Struthio camelus: one gene and its partners. The main gene of each other region encodes a partner of the protein of the gene in region 2 in a complex. Links are inferred from orthologs where the notes say so. Each region holds a gene or a part of one and is shown on either strand. Other genes may lie near its edges.

Region 1 (7,399 bases), on a different chromosome or scaffold from region 2:
TAACAACACTGGGTAAAGTCTGTGGCAAAGGTTCATGCACACACATGCACACAGGGCATCCACAGTACACACCGCTGTCCTGGTGTGTCATTATTCCAAGAATAACTACTAGAGAGGCACTCCACCCTTGTACTTCCAACATCGAAGATGTGATTGTCCCAGAGTCATTATAGTGATTTTAAGGAGGAGGGAAGAAGGGAGAAGTGTCCCTGAATCTCTGACCTCTTAGAAGAGATGCAGTGCAGAGAAAAGCGTGAAAAAAAGAGGCAGTTTCAGATTTGTCAAGCCAAATTCCCTTGCGATCTTTGAAATAGCAAAAAGCAGAAGGCTTTCTGAGGGTCATCCCAGCTACCTGGGAACAGAAGGGGCAATTCTTCCCCATCCTCACATGGCTGCCAGCCCCGGGGACAGACTGGTGAACATCTCCCTGCCCTCAGCCAGAACAGGGTTCTGCAAAATGACAAGCCACACACCTGTTTAAATATAGGTCAGCATGCTTTATTAAGCAACAACCCTACACGTGTGTCTACATGTTGAAAGGTAGTCAAACACTGTGAGGAGACACGTATTTTTATTCATAAGAGGACCTGGAAAGTAACCTCATTATACTAAGCAGGAAACTCATTTTTTAACCTGCAAATTTTTGATGGTGCATAAAGCACTTTTAAAGAGCCTGCAAAAGGTAAGTAAGAGTGAATTTCTTGTAGTAACTTATACGTGTTCAAAAAGTTTGCACTTGCCCTGTAAGTCCCCTGTAGCTGACTGAAGTGATAAGCAACGAAAGAAGGGAGTTATCTTGTTAGCAGTTGCACAAGGGAAGGTGAGCAGCTGCCAAGCTCAGGGTTTGACAGATTTGAAATCATAAGTTATGATCAAAAATGACCTGAGGCTGAAATGCAAAGTGCTCAAAATGTGGGAATTCAGAGCTCAGGCTCCTGTTACCTTAACTCAGTTCCCTTGTGTATAGTTCTGGGTATAATTTTTAGTTAAATGTTCATATTTAATTAAATTACAAAACTTCCCACCACATATTTGTCTCATTGGACACAGAAAATGATTATGTTCACTTATAGATACTTGGTATTTTGTGTCCGCTGGTCATTGTGTGCTCTGGATTAGCACTTGCAGCCCACGTGGTAGGCCCCAGTGATGAGGCATGAGCCTATCACCACTGATGCCCAGCTCCCAGATCCACCAACCCTGCCAGACCTCTGCTACCTCCAAAGCAAAGAGGACAGAGTCGGTAGGAGCAGGTAAGGGGTGATGGCCCGGCAGGGGAGGAGGGAAACAGCCTGGGAAGGTGCAGAGCATCAATCGTTTTCTCACATACATTTCAACTGCAAAGTGGTCTGATCCATCCCTTCCTCTTCAGCAATGCGGTTAAGGGAGACTTTCCTTATTGTTCATTGCTGGTGACAGCATCCACCCTCAGTGCTGCCTTTGGGCTGTCAGTGATTACCGCTACCTTTGCAGGTAGTCCTGCAGAGTCCTGTGTCCTGTGTCACCCGACCCCAGCTGTGCCATGTTTCTGAGGTGGGAAGAGGGAAATGTGGCCACCCTGATGGCAGAAAGGTCTGTATTCGGTCTCCCTTGCTAAAGGACACAGCAGTCCTTCCCTTTTCCACCAGCATGCCTCAAGATCCATGTGTATTTCAGCTGCTGTCCTCATGGCACTCACCTTGCCTCCTGTCTGCTCAAGAGGCTCCACATAGCAGGGACCAACCTGCTTCCCTGAATTATTTATTTGAATTAAGGATGTATTTAAAGAAGAATAGCAATTCTGAGGTTGATTAGACATTTTTGGTCTTCAAATTCAGTTTTTTTTTTTTCCCTCTACAAGATGCTGCACCTAATTCTTTAGGTACAGGAGACACCTAGAAAAGCTGTCTTGATTGGTCAAACATCTGAAAACAGTATAGACAAAAAAGAAATATCAACATATATGGTAAAAGTTATGAAAATATTATTGCTACTGATGCAACAGCATAAGGATATAAGAGGAATAAGGTTTTAATCGCTTTCATTAGGCTAACTTAGAGAGCTGAACAAGTAAGCAAGCTTTCATCTGCTTGGTTACTTCAGCAACAGCTGAATGGGTAGGAGAAGTTAAGTGGCATACCCACAGAAGGAATAAATGGATCAACCGGGAACAAAAACGAAATGGACTGTTAAAAAAGCATCACCAATTTGCATATAGAATTAAAGTAAAAATGTGCATTAAAAGGCAAAATTTGAATTACCATCCTGACAAGCAGAAACTTAAATAAATTTGCTTTAGCCTGTCAGCTTAAACAAACACAACTCAGCAAAGCCTGGAGTGCTACTGACCCCATGAGAAACTTGAAAATGCCAAACAATTTAAGCACCTGAAAATAGTCTGCTTGTCTGCCATATATAAAAAAAGAGAAATGGCTGGTCACAACTGGCATGTGCCGAGATGATTGAATACATTTTTCAGAAACATGAGAACTGTTTCTCTGCAGCTAAGACACCAGAGAGAAATCAGATCAGCGCATAAAGGTAAGCACAGACAAAAATCATGATGAATATGAAATATCACACCAGAAAAACTCCACTTACAAAAAGATCACAAAAACTTCCAAGAAGACAATCTATCCTGTATATGACTCTCTTGTGGAAACTTTTGCAACTGCTTCTGAGGTATCCCCATCCATATTTCCACACTAGTCTGAATGAAAGGGAGTAAAAGACCAAAAAAATTTTAGAAATCCTTGGATTCTAATACCAGACTGAAAAAAATGAATGAATAATTTCAGTACTAAGGTAGATACATCACTTAGAAAAGAAAAGAAATAATATTCATCCTTTCCTTCCAAACTAGCTTTTAAATTAAGACATTCAGATGTTACACCCAGTAAAACATTTGTAGCCTTAATTGCCTCTCAGTGAAGTCAACTTTGTTAATCTACTCCATTTAAGATATGACCCCAGTGCACTTTGCATAAAATTGCTGTCATTTACACAGGTGTATACACACTGACGTAAGCCTTTAGATTTACACAGATGTCAGAAGAAATTGGCAGAGTTTTGCTAATTTTAAACGATAAAAAAAAATCAGATCAGCTTTTGCAGTTGAATACAGTTGTAAAAATCTGTAATATGCATGGTGCTCGTGGCACTGCTCCACAGCTCACTAAGGAAACTGAGAATCTGACACCTTGTGTCCAACTAGAGACTAACTTATTTGTATATTGCTTGAAAGTACTGGACCTAAGACTGCTACAAACAAAAACCTCAAATTTATTTTTTTTAAAAAAGTGATTGACTTAGTTTTCAGTATTCTCTTCAGTTTTATATTCATTTTTGAAAGAAACTTTAGTAAAGCCTAGTTTCATAACCCGTTGTCGTCATCATCATCATCATCATCATCATTTCACCTACATAACCACTCTCCCATTAATACAGCATTTTCATAATGAAAATGGAAGCATTTTTTTAATTGGGAAATTTGTAAAACCACAGAATTCGGCAGGACAACTAAAATGTGGGTATCATATCTTAAGCCATTTTTGAACATTGCTTTGCAGTTATTACTTTTCAGTTTGGTCATGTTCTTTTGTAGTTCTTCCAAGTGTGCTTGCTATACCTCAAGTAAAAAAATGTGCCAAGATGAGCTATTTCTGTTTTGATGTGGGTCCTAGATCTACTAGCCATGCTAACATATATGACTCCTTACATGATTGCCACCTAGACTTACAGTACAGCAACAAATATGCAGCTTCTAAGCATCTTACAGGTAATTTTCAGCTGACTGGCCAACTTCAAATTATTTAGGTAACTCAAGATATCAGAAGAAATAAAAGGGAGAGCTTATTTCAAGAGGGCTGCGCTCATATCAAGCTTCTCTTGCTTAAAGGAGGTGACATAAATTTCGGTCCAACAGGCTCACTGCTGGATTTACATCACTATGAATGGGGAATCAGGCCCAGATTAACCTAATACCAGCTTCTGACACATCTTCAAAAATTTTAGCAGTATTTGGTGCTTCTGTGAAATTAGAATGTGGTTTGGAAAACCAAGGGGAAGGTGGGAATCTGAACAAACATATCTGAGAAAAAGTTCAAAGTCTAAAGGTTCGTTCCCTTCCCCTCCCAAAAGGCTTTCTATGTAGCACAGTAGACTGCTCTTCCTGGATTTAACAGTAGGGGCGTGGGAAGCTCTCAGATGTCACAGGCTTGTAGATAACATTTGAACATATGATTAGCTTTTGTGAGCTGTCTTTAGAAACCTTACATTTGCTCCCCCCCCACACCTTAGCCAGAGAACCTACGTGCTTTCCTTCCCTTGAGGTTTCGGGCCACTTAAAATGTTGCTTTGACAAAAATCAAGGATGTGGAGAAGTTTTTCCTGTGTGATGTCACTTGGCTACCCTTTATAAGCCTCTGCAAAGAAGAAAGGAGCCCATCTGAGGATTCATACTCCAAACGCAGTCAAACCAGGGAAAGAGAGAAGCAAAGAGGAGTATCAAGTTTCAGGTACAGACTAGCCACTAAGGACAGAGAGCCATGCCACAGGCCGTTCCCTACAGCTGCTTAGGGTGCATGCTGCTGGTGCTCTGCAGCCTGAAGGCTACCGCTGCCTTTCCCAACTCCTCTCCACTGCTGAATCCCAGCTGGGGGAGTGCAGATCGCCTGATGCACCTGTACACAGCTACGGAGAGGAACAGCTTCCACCTCCAAATCAACGCTGATGGCTACGTTGACGGTGTCCCGCACCAAACCATTTACAGTAAGTAGCTCATTATGGACCCCCGGTCTTCATTTGAGCAGGGAAGAGAGGACAATGGTCTTTTTTTGCCTTCTTACTAGCTATAGCAATTTCCATCCTCCTGGTTGGCAGGCAGACAGCTGCGAGATGGAAAATACACATAATTGTAATATTCCTTTTGTTTAACAAATAAACAAAATTGCTTCAAAGAAATCTAGCAGATAGGAATTCTGATTCTTCACCTTTACAGTAAGTTATGTGATTCCTGTGATACTCTGCAAGCAAAAACTACCAAAATTATCCTTCACTTCATGATTTTACCCACAGCTTCTTGTGGAAGTTCCAATGAGAGATTGGTGATGACATGTCCCAAGTATCTCCTTCTTATTCCATTGATAACATCTGCAAAAGAAGTATACTGAGTGAACTCACCACACAAGTGCTGGAAAACTGGTTTTGTCCATAAAACCTTTACTTTTGGGTAGAGAGCTGAAAAATATCTGTAGGCAACTACATCAGTACAGTTGGTCATTTCCTTTTGAGTACACCAATACTTCTCTGAATCGAAAATTAGTTTGTGAGACAAGCTTCAGATTTGTGCCTTTAATGTACTGCCTGGTAGAAACACAACTGTGCATAGAACGTGGCTCACTGAATATGCAAAGGTTGATTAAACTGGGAGAAACCGCAAAATGTCAGACTCTCATAAATGAAGTGCTAAGCCTTCGGAGTGCAGGTGTGGCTCCCAAATTGTCTCATCCTCATCTATTTTCTTGGAAAACTGGGGTATCCTCCTTTCTTTGTTGCATACCTAGCCCAAACACCATAACTAGTAGAAAAATGATCACAAGTAACAATAAATCAGAAAGTAATTTTAATTATTACTACTGTGTAGCATCTTCTTCAACTACTCAACTAAAAATATAAGCATATCCAGAGATACCTGTGTATGAGTGTATGAGGAACAAAAGACTTTTAAAAAGGTTATAATTTAATTAAGGAGAAAAAATGATCAAGTTCTGCTATTTTTTTATGAATTATGGATAAAACACTTGTAGAAAGGCTGCATCCTCTTGTTATTATTCTTCAAATATATTAGTAGGGTCTAAAAAATTCAGTCGTGTTGGTCAAGAACCAGTGTGATGGTGTAGAGAATCACAGCCAACAAAATACCATGCTTTGCCAATCTGTCATGAAGCAAGTGTACAGGTAGTTGAAATGGTAGAGCAGAAAGTGTGAGATAAGACAAGGAAAGGGGCTGTGAAAGCAAAATAACTGAACCAGGTCACCACAGTCCTGCTGAGACACCAGACACATGAGAAGTGCAAAGTTCTGCACCAGGGCTGAAATAACCCCTGGTGGTGGTACAGGCTGGAGCAGCCTCACTGCACAGACAGAGCCCTGCTGGACAGGTCCTGAGGGTTACAGGGGCACCAAGCCAAATGTGAGCCAACAGCACATTTGTCCACATTTGAGTGGAATGGTGGCCCAAAGACCCCCGGGATGGCCCTTCCAGTCAGCACTTTTGTGGATCGGTGAGGCAACAATCCAGTGCAGAACTGTGTCCTGGATTTGATATCTTTGTTTTTCTAAATAGGTGCTCTAATGATCAAATCCGAGGGTGCTAGCTATGTAATAATCACTGGAGTGAAGAGTGGACGCTACCTATGCATGGACATGAAAGGAAACATTTTTGGATCGGTGAGTGACCTTTGCTAAGACTCAAGACTGAGGCAGCTGCAGCCTGCTGTTCTTACCATAGGGCCAATTTCCTCAGCTAGGACAAATCTCTGTAGCCAGAGGCAGTGACGGAGGAGGCAGATTTAAGCCAGCTGAGAACCTGACACGTAGGTTAAACTTTCCTCTTCTTGTCAATCGTATTGAATCATAGAGCTGACAGAAGTCGTGCAAGTCCTGCTGGGCTAAATGAGGCCAGAATGAAATCTAATGGTGGATCAACCTGAATTCTTGCTGTAGTCTATAGTCGTGGCTTGGAAATAGCTCAGACAATACAATCCTCTCAGATAAAGCAGTGTTAGCCCAAAAATACCTTTGCTGTAAATATGGGCATATATATTAGTCTACAGTTTACTAAGCCTTGTCTCAGTTGTTACTGCAGAGCTAGGGGATCAGAAAGATACCTGCTGCAAGATCTCATTCTTCTTTCTGTTTTTAATTGGCACTCTTTAATCACCAAATCTCTCTGCTCACAGCTGTCATTTTTTTCCTTAAGCATTACTTCAGCCAAGAAGACTGCGTGTTCAAACACAGAACCCTGGAAAATGGATACGATGTGTACCAGTCTCCTAAATACAACTTCCTGGTTAGCTTAGGCAGAGTTAAACAAGCTTTCTTCCCTGGTATGAATCCACCACCATATTCCCAGTTCCTGTCCAGGAGAAATGAAATTCCTTTATTCCGATTCAACACACCTGAGCCCCACAGAAACACTAGAAGTGCAGATGTCGATCCAATGGATCCTCACCAGATCCTGGTGCCCCAGAGAAAGGTCTCCGCATTAGGATCCCAGCTGCAGCTGCAAGCAGACTTTTCCCACGTGCCCAGAGAACCCATGAGAATCAATCAGAATGATGTGGTCAACCCAGATGACCCACACGCTATGATGGATGCCAGGAGGCATGTGAGCCCTCGCTTCTATATTACAAGATAA
Region 2 (8,003 bases):
GCCCTTCGGAGGCGAGGCAGGATGTCGGTGCAGCCAGCGCCTCCCTGCCAAGACTTCTGCTCAGCCGGCTCGGCGCCTTCGCGCAGGAGCGGCAGGAGGACGGTGGCTTGCCTGCGGGCACCGGAGGTGGCAGGGAAAGCTCTGGGGGGACAAGGTGCTGAGGCTCTTCCTGCTGGCCGGCAGGACCCTGGGACAGCCCGCCCGGGCGAGCCAGGCAGAGCTGCTGGCGCAAGGAAGGGAGCGAGCCTGGCCTTGGACACCAGGTGCCTACATGGTCACCTGTGACAAGTCAGCTTGAGAGCTTAAAAGTCAGCTGAGGCTTTAAAAAAATGGAGAAGACAACAGCCATTGAATAAAAGAGGTTAAGAGTGGGAGAGGGAGCAAGAGCCTGGCTTTGCATGCCAGCACCCCTCTGCAAACCAGCCAGGCTGGTCCCCATGGATTGTCTCAGCAGCGTCTCATTCCCCATTTCAGCCCAGGTCTCCTCCAGCCACCACTCAGAAAGACACCAGAGCCTGCAGTGTCCGTGGTCCCAACAGCACTGCCGGGGACCAAACCAAGGTTTTCCAGCAAAGACTCATCTGATCAGGCCCCCCCGGCTGGACGGGGTGCACCCTGGCCACATAGGTCCTGGCTTTGGTTTGAAAGGCTCTGAGAAAGCCATGGAGAACCAGGGAATGCCTGCAGGAGAGCATCCTTCACCTCCCTCCTCTCTGCACTGGCGTCTCTGTTTGGCGTCCATGGAGGCGCTCGCTCGTTCAGGACGGGTCCTGCTCAGTCTCCTGAACGCTTCGTCTGCAGGCAAACCCTGCTGCGACCGCAGGTGCCCTGAGCACCCCTGGCCCTGGCGCTGCTCCTCTCCCCTGCAAGTGAAATGGTGCTCTGCTTGTTTGATTTCCCTTCATCACCATCAGAAAAGCAGCCAAGTAGCAGCCGATGGGGGACATTATGGTGCTTTTGAGATGCAACCAAGGAAGGAAAAAGCAGGTTTGGGTTGATGCTAATAGCAGAGAAAACCTCAGAGCAAGGAGAGTGCTTGGGAGCCACCGGGCTGTATTGCAAGCCCAAGGACCGGAGCCGGTGCTCTGCCCATGACAGGGCTTTGTGCTCTGCCCATGCCAGGGCTTTGCTCCAGGACAGCAGCACAGCTGGGCTGGGCTCCCGGGCAGGCCTGGTGGGCCCCATCCCGCCGTGGGGCAGAAAGGGGCCACATGCGGCCAAGGGCTGCGGGTGTGTGATCCAGCCTGGCTCGGCAGTGCCCGAAGTCCAGCTGAGCACAGGCAGCACCTCTAGCTACAGCCAGAGCCGCTAATAACACTTTATGGAGTTGGAGCAGAGAGGCGAGAGAGGGGGCTTCCTGTAAAAGGCTCTACTTAGCTTCTAAATCATGCCCGGGAGCTAACATTTTGCTGATTTTCACATGTCCCATTTCCCTGGGAAAGTTGGAGTTTTGCAAGCTGCCGGGCGAGCTCTCCGCAGTGTCCCTGCTGGCCTCTGGCAGGGTGGCACGGGGCTGGCCAGGCAGCCACGGGTGCTGAGAGGGGCTGGACTTCTCTCTGAGACGCTTCACACAAGCCCTGCCTGAGAACAGACTCCTCTCGGCATGGAGAACGGCTGCTGTGAGCTCCTCCAGCCTTGGGACAGCGGGGTGAAGTCACCACTAGTGACTCAGATGTTCTAGCACATGGGAAGTGATTTGCCAAGGTCAGACAACGCACCTGGACGCCTCTGCAGAACATCAGCAACGTCCTGAAAAGCCTGGCCAGGAGGCGGAGGGGGAAGCAGAGAAGAGACGAGTCGTGTCTTAGAGATGGGGAAAGAGGGCTGCACGGGAACTGGCCTGTCCGTCCGAGCCACGCCGCAGCCGGCAGAGGCTCCGATCAGGAGTCCTGAGGCTGGTGTCCTGCCCGAGCCGCGCTCCCTCCTGCAGCGCCCCGTTACCCGCGTGCGCAGCCACGCTCAGCGCACGTGCGCCCGGTAACGCGCTGCGGACGCGGCGCTCGCACGCACGGAGCCGATGCGCGTGCACCCTGCACGCCCCGCAGAGAGCAGGGCCACGCGCACGTGTGCCCCGGCTGCCTCCCACGTGCCCTGCCGCGTGCGCTGCCTTTCGCTTGTGGGGTGGCGCAGGCTCGAGCCCGCGAGCCAGCCGGCCGCCTGCGAGCAGCCAGCGCTGCACTCTGATGTGCCCCGGCCTTTGCAGGGCCAGCCCGAGCTGACAAAGTCTTTGTCAGCCAGATCTTTCAGGGAAAGCTCTTTGTTCTTCAGCGTTTGCTCCTGGCCTCCCCCTCCACAAAGCTCAACTAGATGCATCTGCTTTTGTTTTCTAAATGCAGAATTAGGGGCTGAAAAGAGCCCCTTTGTAGTGGGGAGGAGGGGAGAGCTGCAGATCTTTGACTGGGCAAGTTGAGGTCAGGGGGGAACGGCTCCTTTGTGCTGCCGGCTGGGCTCGCGCTGCTACCCTGCCCCTTCCTAGACCCGGGCCCTCATGCAAAAGTTTTGGAGACTTGGAGAAACTGCTGTGCAAGCAGTATTGGCAACATCCCACCACCAGTGCCGCTGCCGCTGCCCGGGCGGTCGGCTGCCGCCGTGGCTGGGCTGCTCGGCGATGCACATGGAGCAGGCCACCGCGAGCGAGACAGCCAGGTGCCGGGGACGGGCCGCTCGGAGCAAGGCCGGGGCGAGCAGGCTGCGGGACCAGCACCCTTGCCAGCCGCCAGCAACCCCTCCGGCTTCCTCGTCCTGGCCCCGGACAGATCTCGTCCGTGTGAGCGCACTGTCCCGGCCCCGAGGCCAACGGGATCGTTAGACCAGCACAAAGCTCTGCACGAGCGCTTGGCGCTTGGATGTCCGCGTCAGAGCCAGCCCGCGAGCACATCCGGGCTGCGCGCGGGCTCAGCCGAGCTTGGGCCGGGGCTCGGCCTGCGCGCGGTGAGCTGTTCAGCTGTCAGCGTAGCGCAGATGTGCTTTCAGTTTATCTTGGTCCTGTTCTTGATTAAGTGTAGTTGCAGTGAAACAAGCCCGGCTCCATGTGAAAATCGCATCTGCGTCGCCTCGAAAGCGTGTCACCGACGCGCAGGTGTGTGCGGGAGAGCGTGGCCCTGGGGACCGGGGCGGGCTGGATGCCCACGGAGCCGGCCCCGGGGAGCGCTCCTCTCCCCGGCCATCCTGGGGGTCTGTATGCCACCAGATGGTGACAGCTCGCGGTCACTCCTGCTCCGGAGCCCCAGTGCTGAGGCCGGGGGGCAGCGAACCCTTGAGCCTCCCAGGAGCAGGGGATTCTTGTCCTCATTTTCCGCCATCTCCGAGCACCGTAAAGGCCCACAAAGTTCAGTCTTCCGCCCCCGCGATGCAGCCAGGCAGAAAGCCATCCCCAAGGAGAGCAGCAGCAGAGGTGCGAGCCCTTCCCCTTTCCTCACAAGGACATGTTATGGCTGCAAATCCATCAGCTCCATTTCAGGGCCGACGTTATTAAGCCTGGGACAAAAGCTTAGCAGGAGGCATGGCTGCCCTGGGGGGGGGCAGGAGCCGCCCGGAGCTCTCTCAGGTCCCCGTGCAGCAAACCTGGCCCCAGCCTCGGTCCCTATAGCTAAGCATGAAGCAGGTTGGTTCCTGGCTGTCCGGGGGATGAAGAGAGCAGGGCTGGGGCTGGGGGGGGTCTCACTCCTCGGGGCAGGTGGTCCCTCCTGCAGAACGGAGCTGAGCCTGCTTCACCCGCCTGGAAATAGGAAGGTGCTCCAGCTCGCCGGGCTGGCCCTCTCCAGACAATGAGATCTGCTTCCTCCGTGCTTCCGCCTGCCCTCCTTGCCAGGTAGCCGCACCGTTCTTCGATCACCTCCTGGGAAGAGCTCGCCTGTCCGGCGAAAGAGAAAAAGCAGAGAGAGAGGAACATGCTGCCAGCCAGCACACCTACCGCCCCGCGGGCTGCAGCGAGAGGGAACCCACGCACGCAGAGACGCCCAGGCTGCCCCGCAGGCAGGCGCCCGGGGAGCCCGCCTGGGGCAAGCTGCGCATCACGGGGGCACTGGGGAACAGCTCTTCTTGCCCCATGCCACCGGCTCTCTTAGACACTCTTCCCATGCTCAACATGCCGGGGCAAGAGCATCCCGGTAGGCATGTTACCTTCCCCTCCCTCTCCCCTGTCCACACATCTGTCATCCCAGAAAAAAAATATTCAGTAGGTCTTGGCACAGCCATCTGAGCAGTTGCCTGAACCAGCAAGAGGCTGCTCCTGAAGACAGATGCCCAGCATTTGGTTCAAATATAGCTATGGTGATTGACAGGGCTAATTCAGTCTGTCCTCTTCCCTGTTATAACTTAATCACTTACACATTGCCTCACGCAGGTCTTTCACTACCAGCCAGGAGACGTCTTCATCCTGACCTACCCTGACTTTGAATGTGAGTCGGGTTTGCTCCTCTATCTGTGCTTCCTGCACGGAGGCCAAACCTTGTCACAGTCCGCATTACCCTGCGCGAGCCTGGCTTTGGGGGAGCTCGCCCGACCCGCAGAGATTGGGCCTGGGCCTGGGCCTGGGGAGGGTACAGCAGCTACAGCATATGGGAGAAAGGCTGGAGGCCTGACCAGCCGACACATGTATTGCCTGAGCACGCAGGGATCTTTCGGGGTGCTTTCCAAGTCTTCGTGCTCCGGACCTCAGTGGAGAGCTGCCCAGCTGGGCACAGCAGGGGAGGGGCAGGCTTTCCAGCAGCAGGAGTTCCTGGACGGCTCCCAGGAATGATTTGAGTCTGGCAACCCTTTGGAAAACTGCTGGCAGAAAGTGGGTGCCCCAGGCCTGGCTTCGCAGAAGGGCCAGGCTGGGGGCTCTGGGCTCCCCAGCGCGCTGCCGCCCCTGCGTGCCAGCGCGCCGCTGTCTCGGCGCCTGGTCGGCGGAGGCCCTGCCAGGAGGCCGGCGCCGCGGGACGAGGGCTCTGCCCCTGCTCCCGGCTCTGCCTCCCCCGGACGGCGGGGCTCCCGGCTCGCCGCTCTCCCGGCGCGCAGCAGCCATGAGCGAGAGAGGGGCCGAGCGCAGAAGGAAGCATCCCGCTGCGGAAGGGCCGAGCACCTCGTATGCGCAACCTGGACGGTTTTGGGGGGGGGGGGGGAACAGCCTTCGCAACCCAGCGGCGGCCCCGAGGCCCCGGGCAGGGGCCCGGCGGGGGGCGGCCGCCGGGCGGGCCGGAGCGCAGCCCGGGGGCGTCGAGGGGAGGCGGGGAGCGAGGGGGTCGGCGGCGACTACAAGCCCCAGCAGGCCGCTGAGGAGGAGGAGGAGGAGGAGGAGGAGGGCTGGGGAGGACGGCGGAGGGGAGCGCGGAGGAGGAGCCGGGGAGGAGGCGGCGGGGCGGTGCGGGAGCGGCTCAGTCCGGCGGCGGCGGGGACGCGGCGGCAGCGGCAGCGGCAGCGGCGCCCGTCGGGTCGGGTCGGGGCGGCGGCGGCGGGAGCGCCTGGGGCCGGCGCCGCCATGGGGCGGCCGCAGTGAGCGCGGCGCCGGCGGGGCTGCGCCCTCGCCCCGGCCGGGCACCCGCCATTGTTCGGTAGCGGCGGGCAGCGCGCCGCCGCCGCCCCGCGGGGCTCCGGTGAGTACCGCCGCCTGCGCCGCCCTCCCGCCGCTCGACGGCGGCCCCGGCTCGCGGGCATCGGGGCTTCGCGGGCACCGGGGGGGCTCCGGTTCGCGGGCATCGGGGCTCCTCAGGCACCGGAGGGCTCCGATTTCCAGGCATCGGGGCTCCTCGGGCGCCGGGGGGGTCCGATTTCCAGGCATCGGGGCTCCTCGGGCGCCGGGGGGGCTCCGGTTCGCGGGCATCGGGGCTCCTCAGGCACCGGAGGGCTCCGATTTCCAGGCATCGGGGCTCCTCGGGCACCGGGGGGGTCCGATTTCCAGGCATCGGGGCTCCTCGGGCACCGGGGGGGTCCGATTTCCAGGCATCGGGGCTTCGGAGGCACCGGGGAGCTCCGGTTCGCGGGCATCGGGGCTCCGCAGCGCACCGGAGGGCTCCGATTTCCAGGCATCGGGGCTCCTCGGGCACCGGGGGGGCTCCGATTTCCAGGCATCGGGGCTCCTCGGGCACCGGGGGGGCTCCGATTTCCAGGCATCGGGGCTCCTCGGGCACCGGGGGGGCTCCGATTTCCAGGCATCGGGGCTCCTCGGGCACCGGGGGAGCTCCGATTTCCAGGCATCGGGGCTCCTCGGGCACCGGAGGGCTCCGATTTCCAGGCATCGGGGCTTCGCAGGCACCGGGGGGAGCTCCGGTTCGCGGGCATCGGGGCTCCGCAGCGCAGCGGAGGGCTCCGATTTCCAGGCATCGGGGCTTCGCAGGCACCGGCGGCTCCGGTCCGTCGGGCTCCGCGGCCGGCGCTCCGCGCAGCGCGGCGGGGCGGCACGTTGGAAACGCGCCGGCCCGGGGCCCGTCGGGGGCCGCGGCCCGGGAGCCCCCCGCGGCGCCGGCGCTCCGGCAGCGCGGCCGGGCCCGAGGCCACCGCCCGGCGCGGGGCTGGCGCGGACCTGGCTCTGCCGTTCGGTGGCTTGTTTGCAAAGTTGCTGCCTAGCCGTTGTGTGCGAAGAGAAGTTCGCAAACGGGAGCCTCAAGGCTCCCAGAAGAAGATGAGTAAGGAGCCGGCACTTGCTGGGTTTTGTTTTGTTTAAGCCTCCTGATGTTGGGGCATTCCGGTGGTAACTGGGGATTGAGATGCTGGAAACAACATATCCTTAAATTGTATATTTCCTTTGTGTTTGTGAGGTGCCCATGGGGAGATGAGGAGATTCTGAGATTGTCTTTTATCAAAACTCTTTGCCAGGATCTCTGAGAGTCGTCCTTGTTCATACATGGCGAACGCTCAGAGAGTACAGCGTGCTGGCTGATGGCGTGTGCGATATTTGTCTTATCTGCTGGGATGATGTGCGTAACTAGCCGGGACTGTATTGGGTTTCAGATGGCATTTTTGGTTGTGGTATTTGTAATTTTTGCTGTTTTACCGAGTTGAGTGCAAGATCCAATCAGAGGCAGCTTGACTTATGTAACTAGCCGGCCCAGCTGAAAACACGAGTTGCGTATCCATTTGTAATGCGTTCAGGTTACACAGAGAAGTACTGGAGTCGTGGTGCGCTTCTCCTTCTCTGCCTAGATTGTTGAATAACTACCCAGCGTCTGAAGCGCTACGGCTGACTGGTACACAGTTCCTTCCGGTGAATGTTTAAACACCGAAGTGTGGTTCACCGAACTGCTTGTGTTAATAAAGCACAGAGGCTTAGAAGCTGTTCTTCTGCCCAGGTCCCGAAGCGAGTGAAATTGGAATTTGCTTTCAGACTTGAGCAGGCGGAGGCAGCGGTGCTGTGCCTGGGACTCGCTCGGCGGTGAGGGGCCGCGCGCGAGCGCTTGTGCAGAGGAGGCGGGGAGCCGTGGGGGCGCGGGCAGCGGCAATGCAGCGACCCCGCCGAGCCCTGCCGATGCTGCGGGGCCGGGAGCACGGACCCTGCATACCTCTCTGGCTAGCAGCCATTTTCCCCACACATGAGCACTTCCTTAATCTCTGCGGTGGCTGGCATGCACTATTGCCTTTTCCTTGTGTTGTTCAGGGAGGATTAAAATAAATCAGGATGGTCCCTGCCCTGACGGGGTGAAGGCAGGAGCAGTGCTCTTCCCTGCGTTGCAAAAGCAGCCTGCACGCGCATGGGTCGGTACCGGGCTTTGCTGGGTGCAAAGCGCCTGCCATGGGGAGCGCTGGCTGCTCCAGCCGTGCTGGGAAGGAGCCCAAGTTGCTTTCAGGTGCAAACTGGAGCTCCTTATTTATTTATGTGCCTAAAAATGTGAACTGCACTAGGAGCTGTTTTGGCTCCAGCCTCAGCAGGTTTTACCCTGATGCTCTGGCTCTGCAAGCCCTGGCTGCTAGAAGGGGCCGCTCGATGGAGAGTGAATTGCGATGCTCATCCAGCCCTGGCAATCCCACTTTCTCCTCAGCTTCCCAGGCCTTGCAGACCTTCTGCTTCTGGGGATGAAGGCAAATGC
Region 3 (7,522 bases), on a different chromosome or scaffold from region 2:
AACCAGCAGAAGAGCTGAATGTATAACTGCCCAAAAATCACATGCCAGGAAGAGGGCACCAACAATTAGTGGATACTTTTGACCTTAATTGCCTCTGTCTTTCGGTTCCTCATTTGTCAAATGTGGAAAAAATGATACCTCCTACCTTACAGAGCTGTGTAAAAAGAAATGATCACTGTTTGTGAAAAAAATGAAATGATAGTCACTAGAAGAAGACTGATTCAGAGATTATGTCACTAAAATAGTTATAGTAGACTTTCCTGGTCTAATTTCTTATACTTTCTATATGCCTTATGAAAGTCTGTGCCTTAGTTTTTCATTTATGAAATTGGAAGAAAGCACTTCCCTTCTTCATAGGACTTTTGTGAGAACAAGAATATGCTTGAGATTAGGAGGCGCTCAGATACTATGGTGATGTGAGATATAAATACTCGGGAAAAACAGCACTGTGGAAAATTCATGGAGAAAATAACCATTACATTTAGTTATCTGTTTTCAGAGCCCTGTATTCAGACCCGAAGCCGCAAACCGAACAACCAGGTGGAGGGGAGAACCACACAGAATATTGAATTGGTACTCATCACTTGTCCATTTTGCACAGCAGAGGAGAGGCTTTAGAAAGAAAATAAAGTGACAGACAACATTAAAAGTCCAAGTCAGCATGCCTATGACTCTCAGAGCTGAAGTAAGAATTGCAAGGTAAGCTTTCTTTTGACAGTCCGAGAGCTCAGATTTGCAGCTTTACTGATTTCTTTTGCATATGATCTATACAAAGTCGGAGAAATAAAACTTCAGCTCCCAAGATTTTGTCACCGATGGCACCGAGTCTACAGCCCTTACCCTTGTGCACAGTCCCACTGATTTCAGAATAACTATGCAAGTATAGCAAATAATTTGTGAGTAACTATTTAGAGATTTTCTGAAAAGTGTAATGATCACTGATAGGCGACAAAGTCTTGCTGCAAAATTTGGGGCTAATACTGCAAATGCTTAAGTTTAGGAGTACCTTCACTCAGAAGCAGATTCAGTTCAGTGAACTGTACAGTCACGGCATCAAACTCAGTCAAGTACATCCTAAGAACTGCTTAAGAGTTTAAAGGTTTCAGCACCAGGAATTTAAGTGCCATCTGAAATGCTACCCCTGTTCAAATTACATCCATGTGTACACCCATGTACACCCCTCTATTTTGTCTTGAAACACTTTTAACACTAAATGATGCAAAGTTAATGCATAAAAGAGGCAAAAGTTGACTAAGCCATGAGTTGGATGTTTTATCAGCGTTCTCATTTCATATACGATACTCACTCAGGAGAACAATACGCTTGCCAGTAAGCATATATTGAGCAAATGAACACTAGCAGAGTTTAGGAATGTGCATTCAGGTAAAATAGATTATTTCTTAAGAGCTGTAACTAAATACCACTCCAGTGAGACATACTGAATCTTTTACTCAGTCAGTGAAAAAGATTTGCACACACTTTTGCTTAATTCTGACAAGTGCTTCCAGCAAACCTTACAAATATACCATATATAAGTAAATTACATAAAAAATACTTATAACAAAAAAGTTATGAGACTTACTAGCCTAGCTGGGGAACACAGGGTTGTTTCCCCCCCAAAAAATGTTCTCTTTGTCCAGAAAAATCCTACTCTGTTAAGAAATATTTTTGGTAAGACGTTTCAGCCACCTCCACCACCTCCGTTAATTCAACCAGACTTTTGTATCAAACACATGAATTCTTTTTACAGTTGTATTTAAAATTTCCACAGCAACTTGAAGCGGAGGCTGGAACCAGCACTGGTCTGAACTCAAACGTCCAGAATCGCATTCACAAATGTCGGGAGACCAAAATTAAACATTTCTGCAGTATACAAAGAACATTTTAATTCGGTGTGTTTGCATTAAGTTGAGGGAACTGCAACTACAAAGTTTGCGCCTCCAATTTATGAGCCTAAGGCGTCTTTAACCCCTTGAAAAGGCTACCCGCTCCAAAGGGGAACAGAATGGATGTTTAATTCTGATGCTCACTTCATATTAATTTGCCTTTTTTTCCCCCCCTTTACTTTAGTGGCTGTCAAAGGCACGGAGCAGCCTGAGGGCAGCTTCCCACAGGCCCAGAGCTGGCACCACCTGAGGGTGCCGCTCTCACCGCCGCCTGGGGGGCAGCACGGCACCTTCCGGAAGGAGGAGAAGAAGGCCCCAAAGATGGTGGGGGAGCCCCTTCCCCCGCCCTCCCACCGCGCCGCCGTTTTACCTGCAGCAGGTGGTGCGCCGCCCTGTAGCCCAGCCGCGGGCCGCCCCGCACGCCCGGCGGCAGCCGCCCCGTGCCGTAGCCGTGCCAGGCCACCACGTAGGGGTTGTCCATGGTGAGCCAGTAACGGACCTGCCCGCCGAAATGCCGGAAGCAGAGCTCGGCGTAGTCGCGGAAGAGCTCGGGCAGCACGGGGCTGGCCCAGCCGCCGTAGGCGTCCTGCAGGCGCTGCGGCAGGTCCCAGTGGTAGAGGGTGACCACGGGCTCCACGCCCAGCTGCCGCAGGTGGCCCAGCAGGCGGCTGTAGTAGGCCAGCCCGGCGGGGTTGAGGGGCGCCGTGCCGTTGGGCAGCAAGCGGGCCCAGGCCAGCGAGAAGCGGTAGTGGGAGACCCCCAGGCGCCTCAACCCCTCGGCGTCGCGGAACAGGTTGTTGTAGCTGTCGCTGGCCACGTCGCCGCCGGCGGGCTGCGGCGGCCGGGCGGCGGGCGGGCGGTGGGCGAAGGTGTCCCAAACGGAGGCGCCTTTGCCGCCCTGGCGCCAACCGCCCTCGGTCTGGTAGGCCGCGCTGCCCACCCCCCAGAGGAAGCCCTCGGGGAAGGTGTCGTGCAGGAAGAGCTGGTCCTCCGGGTAGGGCAGGCGGGCGAAGCGCGCCCAGGTGCCCGCGCCCTGCCCCGGCACCGCCAGCAGCGGGCGGCCCAGCAGCAGCGCCAGCAGCGCCAGCAGCGCGGGCGGCGGCGCGCAGGGGGCCATGCCGGCGGGCGGCGGCGGGGCTCCGCGACGGCGCCTTCCCTCCGCTCAGCCCCCCGCCCCGCTCCCCGCCCCTCCTCACCTTCCCCCCCCGGCCCCCTTTTATCCTCACCTCCGCCCTCCCCCCGCCGGTGGGCACGGCTATTAATGATTACCTCGGAGCTGCCGTCGCCAGCCTGCCCGCCCGGCCAAGGGGGAGCGGGCTCCCGCCTTTGGGGAGCGCCGGCTGCGGGGGCGGGATCGAGGAGGGGCGGGGGGGGAGGCGAGGAGAGCGGAGCGGAGGGCGGCGGCGGGGGGGTTTCCTCGGGGGAAGGAGCAACTTGTCTCCCCTTCGGGGCCGCCTCGGCCACCCGCAGCCCTCTAGGGCGCAGAGCCCGTCAGCCCGCCCCGTCCCGAGGTACCTGCTCGGGCTCTCTCCCCCCCCCCCCGCCCCCGCCACCTCGCCAGCGGCCCCTGAAACGCTCAAAACAGCTTTTTTTTGGCTGAGCCCACCCGATGGCCGGAGCGGCAAGCGCTGCGGCGCCCGGGAGCTGTCCCGCGGCCGGGGCGCCGCCGCCGGGGAGCTGCCCGCGGCACAGAGCGGCGGGCAGGCGGCCGGCCAAAAAATTCCTGGAAAACTTTCCTGGAGGCCCCCCCCCCCCCCCCACCCCACCCCACCCCACCCCGCCGAGCTGCTGCGTGGCTTCATGTATGTGCGGGGTGATCCAAAGCCTGCGGCTGCTGCTTTTTGGATTTTTTTGGTTTTTTTTTTTCCCCATACTCCAGTCTTTCCTTCGTGGTGCCGGGTCGAGGGACGTCGCAGCTGCAATAATAATTTAAAACGTCATGCATTAATAATTAAATAATTGTAGGCATGCAATAATGGTTGAAAACGAAATCATTGACTGGGGACTTCGTACGCTCTCACCCCCCCCCCACACACAATAATTCGTAAGCTGTCACCTCCAACTGACACCGCCTTTTCTTTTCTGGAGTTGCAGGTTGGTATATTTGGTTATTTACTGCATGCAAAACAAATTTCAATTAGAAAGGCCTCGCAGATCCTCATGGGGAGCAGAAAGAAAAAAAAGAAAAAAAGCTGTGTGTTTAAGTTTAATTATTTAGTTATGTCTGTTAACTGCTTGTGTGGATGTGATACGTGAACTTCTTAAAGGCAGGTCTCAGTCTGCTGAGAAGTAAGAATTAGCTTAAAATATTGCAGAAAGTTGGTATTTAATATTCAGTTATGTGAAGCCTAGGATGAGCTGGGGCATCTAAGAATAAAACACACCTACTAGACAGGCCGTTAAGGACAGAGAGATGTTCCCAGGAGATAAAGTTATTGTTTAACTAAAGAATGAAAGCATTAAGATAATTTCATTTTATTTTTAGAAAATAAGTGCCCTCAGAGGAGAACTCCACGTAATTGCTAATAATGAGTGGATGGATTTAAATGCCAATTGCTAGTGGACGCTGAGGTGCTAAAGGTGTTCTCTTGAGCCTAGGATGGGCTCTAACACCTTTCGTAATCACGGCAGAGCACTTTCTTTGCGTCTTTAAAGAAGTTTGAGCTTTCACCTTTTCCACACTAGTTCGATTTGATTTGGGGCTGCTGGGTTGTTTTGTGGTGTTTTTAATGAGGGGACCAAGGATCTGGAGTACCAGATGGTAGTAGTCTTCCATTGTTTCTGATTAATTTATTCCCATGTTAGAGGGATGGAGTTTTAAATTGCCCAGGGGCCCAATAGCATCCTTTTACTAAGGGCACAGCAAGTTTATGGGGTGGGAGCAGGGAAGAGAGCGGCAGATACTGCACCAGAGGCTAATCGTCCGCTGCAAGGAGTGTGTTTGCTCTACAGTCTGACAAGCTGGTGACATTTGATTGCAGTCTAAGTAAAGGATAACTTGAGCTCCAACTGCAGCAACAAAAAAGGTGTTAAAATTGAAATATGGATGCCCTTTCAGGAGGAAATGAGTAGTATCAGATAGGCTACATCAGATGCTCCCCATATTCAGGTGTACCAATCCCCTAGGAAAAATATTAGCACAAGCATATTAGTTGCTCTTCCACAGCAGGTTGAAAATAGAGGTTTGCTAAGAGGTTGTGCATGTACATTTGCTTTTACATTTGCGCACTCTTTTGAAGTATGGCTTGTTGGGTTCTGTTTGTTCTTTCGGAGTCCTAAGTTTGTTCTAAGGATAGCATCACACAGTAGATACTTGCAGAAGCTAGAGATTAAATCTTAAGTACACAACAGGACTGCTCTAGTCCTCCCTATGCAAGGAGTGAAGAGTCAGGCTCCTATTCAGCTACTGACCTGATTCCAGTGGAAGTTTAATGCCTTTGCCTGGGACTTGCTGCCTAAGTATTTTGAAAATCTTGGTGTAGAGGCAGATCTCAGAAACATCTAAGCCTAAAAAAAAAGGCTTTGGAGGTGTCAAATCTATTACTGAGATTTAAGGGGAAAAAAATTTTGATGGGTATCTGGGGACAAAAGACGTTTTAAAATATATCCTGATGCATTCTCTTTTAATTTGCTAATTATTAACTAAAACACAGTTTAATCCTATTTATAGTTAGACCCTTAACTGAAACACGTTCATTAGGATCTCTTTTTCTGCAGAGCCTCTCTACAGCCAAAGGAAAGAAATAGTGTTAGGGTGAGTCAGCCTATGTAAGAACTTAGTCAACTTCTGGAGGTGCCTGCCTTCTCCAAAAACTATACAAGGAACCTACAGTGAGTATGTTCCTGAACTCGGCAGCCCAGTTTTAAGGGGTGAAATCTGGCCATGAGTTGCTGGCACAAAGCTGGCACTTCACCTTTATGTTTATCAGATGAAAACTGGGTCTTAAAGTATAGAAGTCAGAAAAAGTGCACCGCTACCTCCATTTACCTGTTTTTCTCTTTACAGAGAAAGCTTGTTTTCATGTTTCAGAACAACGCAACCACCCTCTGCTCTGGGCCAATATATATTTTTTTCTGGTCTAAGAAACACTGTGCAATATTAACCATGCAGAAAGGTCAGCCAAACACTTGCAGACATGCAGGTTTCTCTGTTTGCTCCTTGAGTTCAAAGCGTGGCTCCATCGTGTCTGCCCTGCTGAGCAAGCACACAACAGCAGCCCAGCCCGGCAGATTTGGATTTGTTATCTTTCAGCTTTCTTTGTATTAGTGATTAGTGAAGGCTCAACTTCTGGTAATATGTATGCTGGATATGGTAAGTGACAGTATAATTTTCAGTCAGCCTATACTCAGAAATTTTCTTTATCAGTTATGCAGCAGCATGCAATCAAATTCAACAATGTTGTGACTGAGCACTTTTGTTTCCTTCCTAAGGAAACAACTTTCGGGGATACTATCTTGGCTGAGGGGCCATGATTACTGATGGCATGCAATTTTAGGTAAAGCAACTGTGTTGATGATTTAGATTCATTTAACACCTTTTCCTGATGTTACGTCATGCATTGGTTTCAATGCAGCAACCCTCCTCCTCATTTTAAGATCTCTGCAGGATAGCGACCTGGCTTATAGTGGTGGCATGTATACTCCTACCTTTGGCAGAGCAAAAGGCCTCGGCACCTGGAACAGCCATTTTCTGTTTTAATACCCATTCTTCGTTTACAAGCAAATTTACAAACATTTACAAGCATAAAGCCAGTTGAAAATAGTCTTGTGTAGTAGATCAGCCCTGGTGAGGCCTCACCTGGAGTACTGTGTCCAATGCTGGGCTCCCCAGTACAAGAGAGACATGGCCCTACTGGAGAGAGTCCAGCGGAGGGCTACAAAGAGCAGCGGGGGGGACTGGAGCGTCTCTCCTGAAGAAAGGCTGCGAGAGCTGGGCCTGTTCAGCCTGGAGAAGAGAAGGCTGAGAGAGGATCTCATCAATGTGTACAAGTATCTGAAGGGAGGGTGTCAAGAGGATGGGGCCAGTCTCTTCTTCGTGGTGCCCAGCAACAGGACAAGAGGCAACGGGCACAAACTGAACCACAGGAAGTTCCATCTGAACAGGAGGAGAAACTTCTTTGCTGTGAGGGTGACTGAGCACTGGCACAGGTTTCCCAGAGAGGTAGTGGAGTCTCCTTCCCTGGAGATATTCAAAACCCGTCTGGATGCGATCCTGGGAAATATGCTCTAGAGGAGCCTGCTTGAGCAGGGAGGTTGGACTAGATGATCTCCAGAGGTCCCTCCAACCTAAACCATTCTGTGATTCTGTGATGTTTTCAGTCAATTAGTTTAATTGATTTAATTAGTGTTCAATCAACTTGTTCGATCACTTGTTCTATATGTATATGTGTATACATATGTATATGTACACGTGTGATATATTTTGTATCAAAGCCTAATCAATACTGCCCTAAGCCAAGTTTTGGGATTTTCCTCACATCCATCATGCAGATACGTCAAACACTATTTTCGTCAGAATCCCACAAATACTAGAATACTAGCACTCTTACTAAATACCATTCTATCTCTGATTTCCCCCTGAGGAAGAGATGGGCATCTTATTGTTCAAAATATTAATCCTCCTGTGATTTCAGGTG

Evidence for each region.
Region 1: the proteins of FGFR1 (region 2) and FGF23 are in contact, whole or in part, in a cryo-EM structure (PDB 7YSH), measured with the Homo sapiens proteins. The link is inferred for Struthio camelus from reciprocal best matches to the Homo sapiens genes FGFR1 and FGF23. Residues at the interface, in NP_075598.2 of Homo sapiens: Glu159, Lys160, Glu162, Lys163, Lys164, Leu165, His166, Ala167, Val168, Pro169, Lys172, Gln244, Asp246, Val248, Glu249, Arg250, Ser251, Pro252, Val279, Tyr280, Ser281, Asp282, Pro283, Gln284, Pro285, His286, Ile287, Ala314, Gly315, Val316; in NP_065689.1 of Homo sapiens: Leu31, Leu32, Gly33, Ser34, Trp36, Gly37, Tyr43, Ala45, Thr46, Ala47, Arg48, Asn49, Ser50, His52, His66, Ile75, Arg76, Ser77, Glu78, Asp79, Ala80, Gly81, Val83, Val84, Tyr93, Phe108, His117, Gln118, Thr119, Asn122.
Region 3: the proteins of FGFR1 (region 2) and KL are in contact, whole or in part, in a cryo-EM structure (PDB 7YSH), measured with the Homo sapiens proteins. The link is inferred for Struthio camelus from reciprocal best matches to the Homo sapiens genes FGFR1 and KL. Residues at the interface, in NP_075598.2 of Homo sapiens: Asn272, Gln288, Leu290, His292, Ile293, Asn296, Gly301, Pro302, Leu305, Pro306, Tyr307, Val308, Gln309, Ile310, Leu311, Lys312, Glu322, Leu326, His327, Leu328, Arg329, Asn330, Glu334, Asp335, Thr340, Leu342, Leu349, His351; in NP_004786.2 of Homo sapiens: Ser539, Gln540, Phe541, Asp543, Leu544, Asn545, Val546, Tyr547, Leu548, Trp549, Asp550, Val551, Lys555, Arg556, Leu557, Val560, Val563, Thr565, Lys566, Arg568, Tyr571, Val573, Ala576, Glu625, Arg628.

What each region holds. Positions count from the first base shown.
Region 1 is NC_090942.1:84,397,695-84,405,093, reverse strand, and holds the start of FGF23 (fibroblast growth factor 23), read left to right. Parts: upstream 1-4,389; 5' UTR 4,390-4,526; coding exon 4,527-4,749; intron 4,750-6,325; coding exon 6,326-6,429; intron 6,430-6,961; coding exon 6,962-7,399. UniProt on the Homo sapiens protein: Regulator of phosphate homeostasis. Inhibits renal tubular phosphate transport by reducing SLC34A1 levels. Up-regulates EGR1 expression in the presence of KL. Acts directly on the parathyroid to decrease PTH secretion. Regulator of vitamin-D metabolism.
Region 2 is NC_090968.1:7,231,278-7,239,280, reverse strand, and holds the start of FGFR1 (fibroblast growth factor receptor 1), read left to right. Parts: upstream 1-4,991; 5' UTR 4,992-5,006; coding exon 5,007-5,068; intron 5,069-8,003. UniProt on the Homo sapiens protein: Tyrosine-protein kinase that acts as a cell-surface receptor for fibroblast growth factors and plays an essential role in the regulation of embryonic development, cell proliferation, differentiation and migration.
Region 3 is NC_090942.1:198,396,312-198,403,833, forward strand, and holds the start of KL (klotho), read right to left. Parts: upstream 3,011-7,522; 5' UTR 3,004-3,010; coding exon 2,257-3,003; intron 1-2,256. UniProt on the Homo sapiens protein: May have weak glycosidase activity towards glucuronylated steroids. However, it lacks essential active site Glu residues at positions 239 and 872, suggesting it may be inactive as a glycosidase in vivo.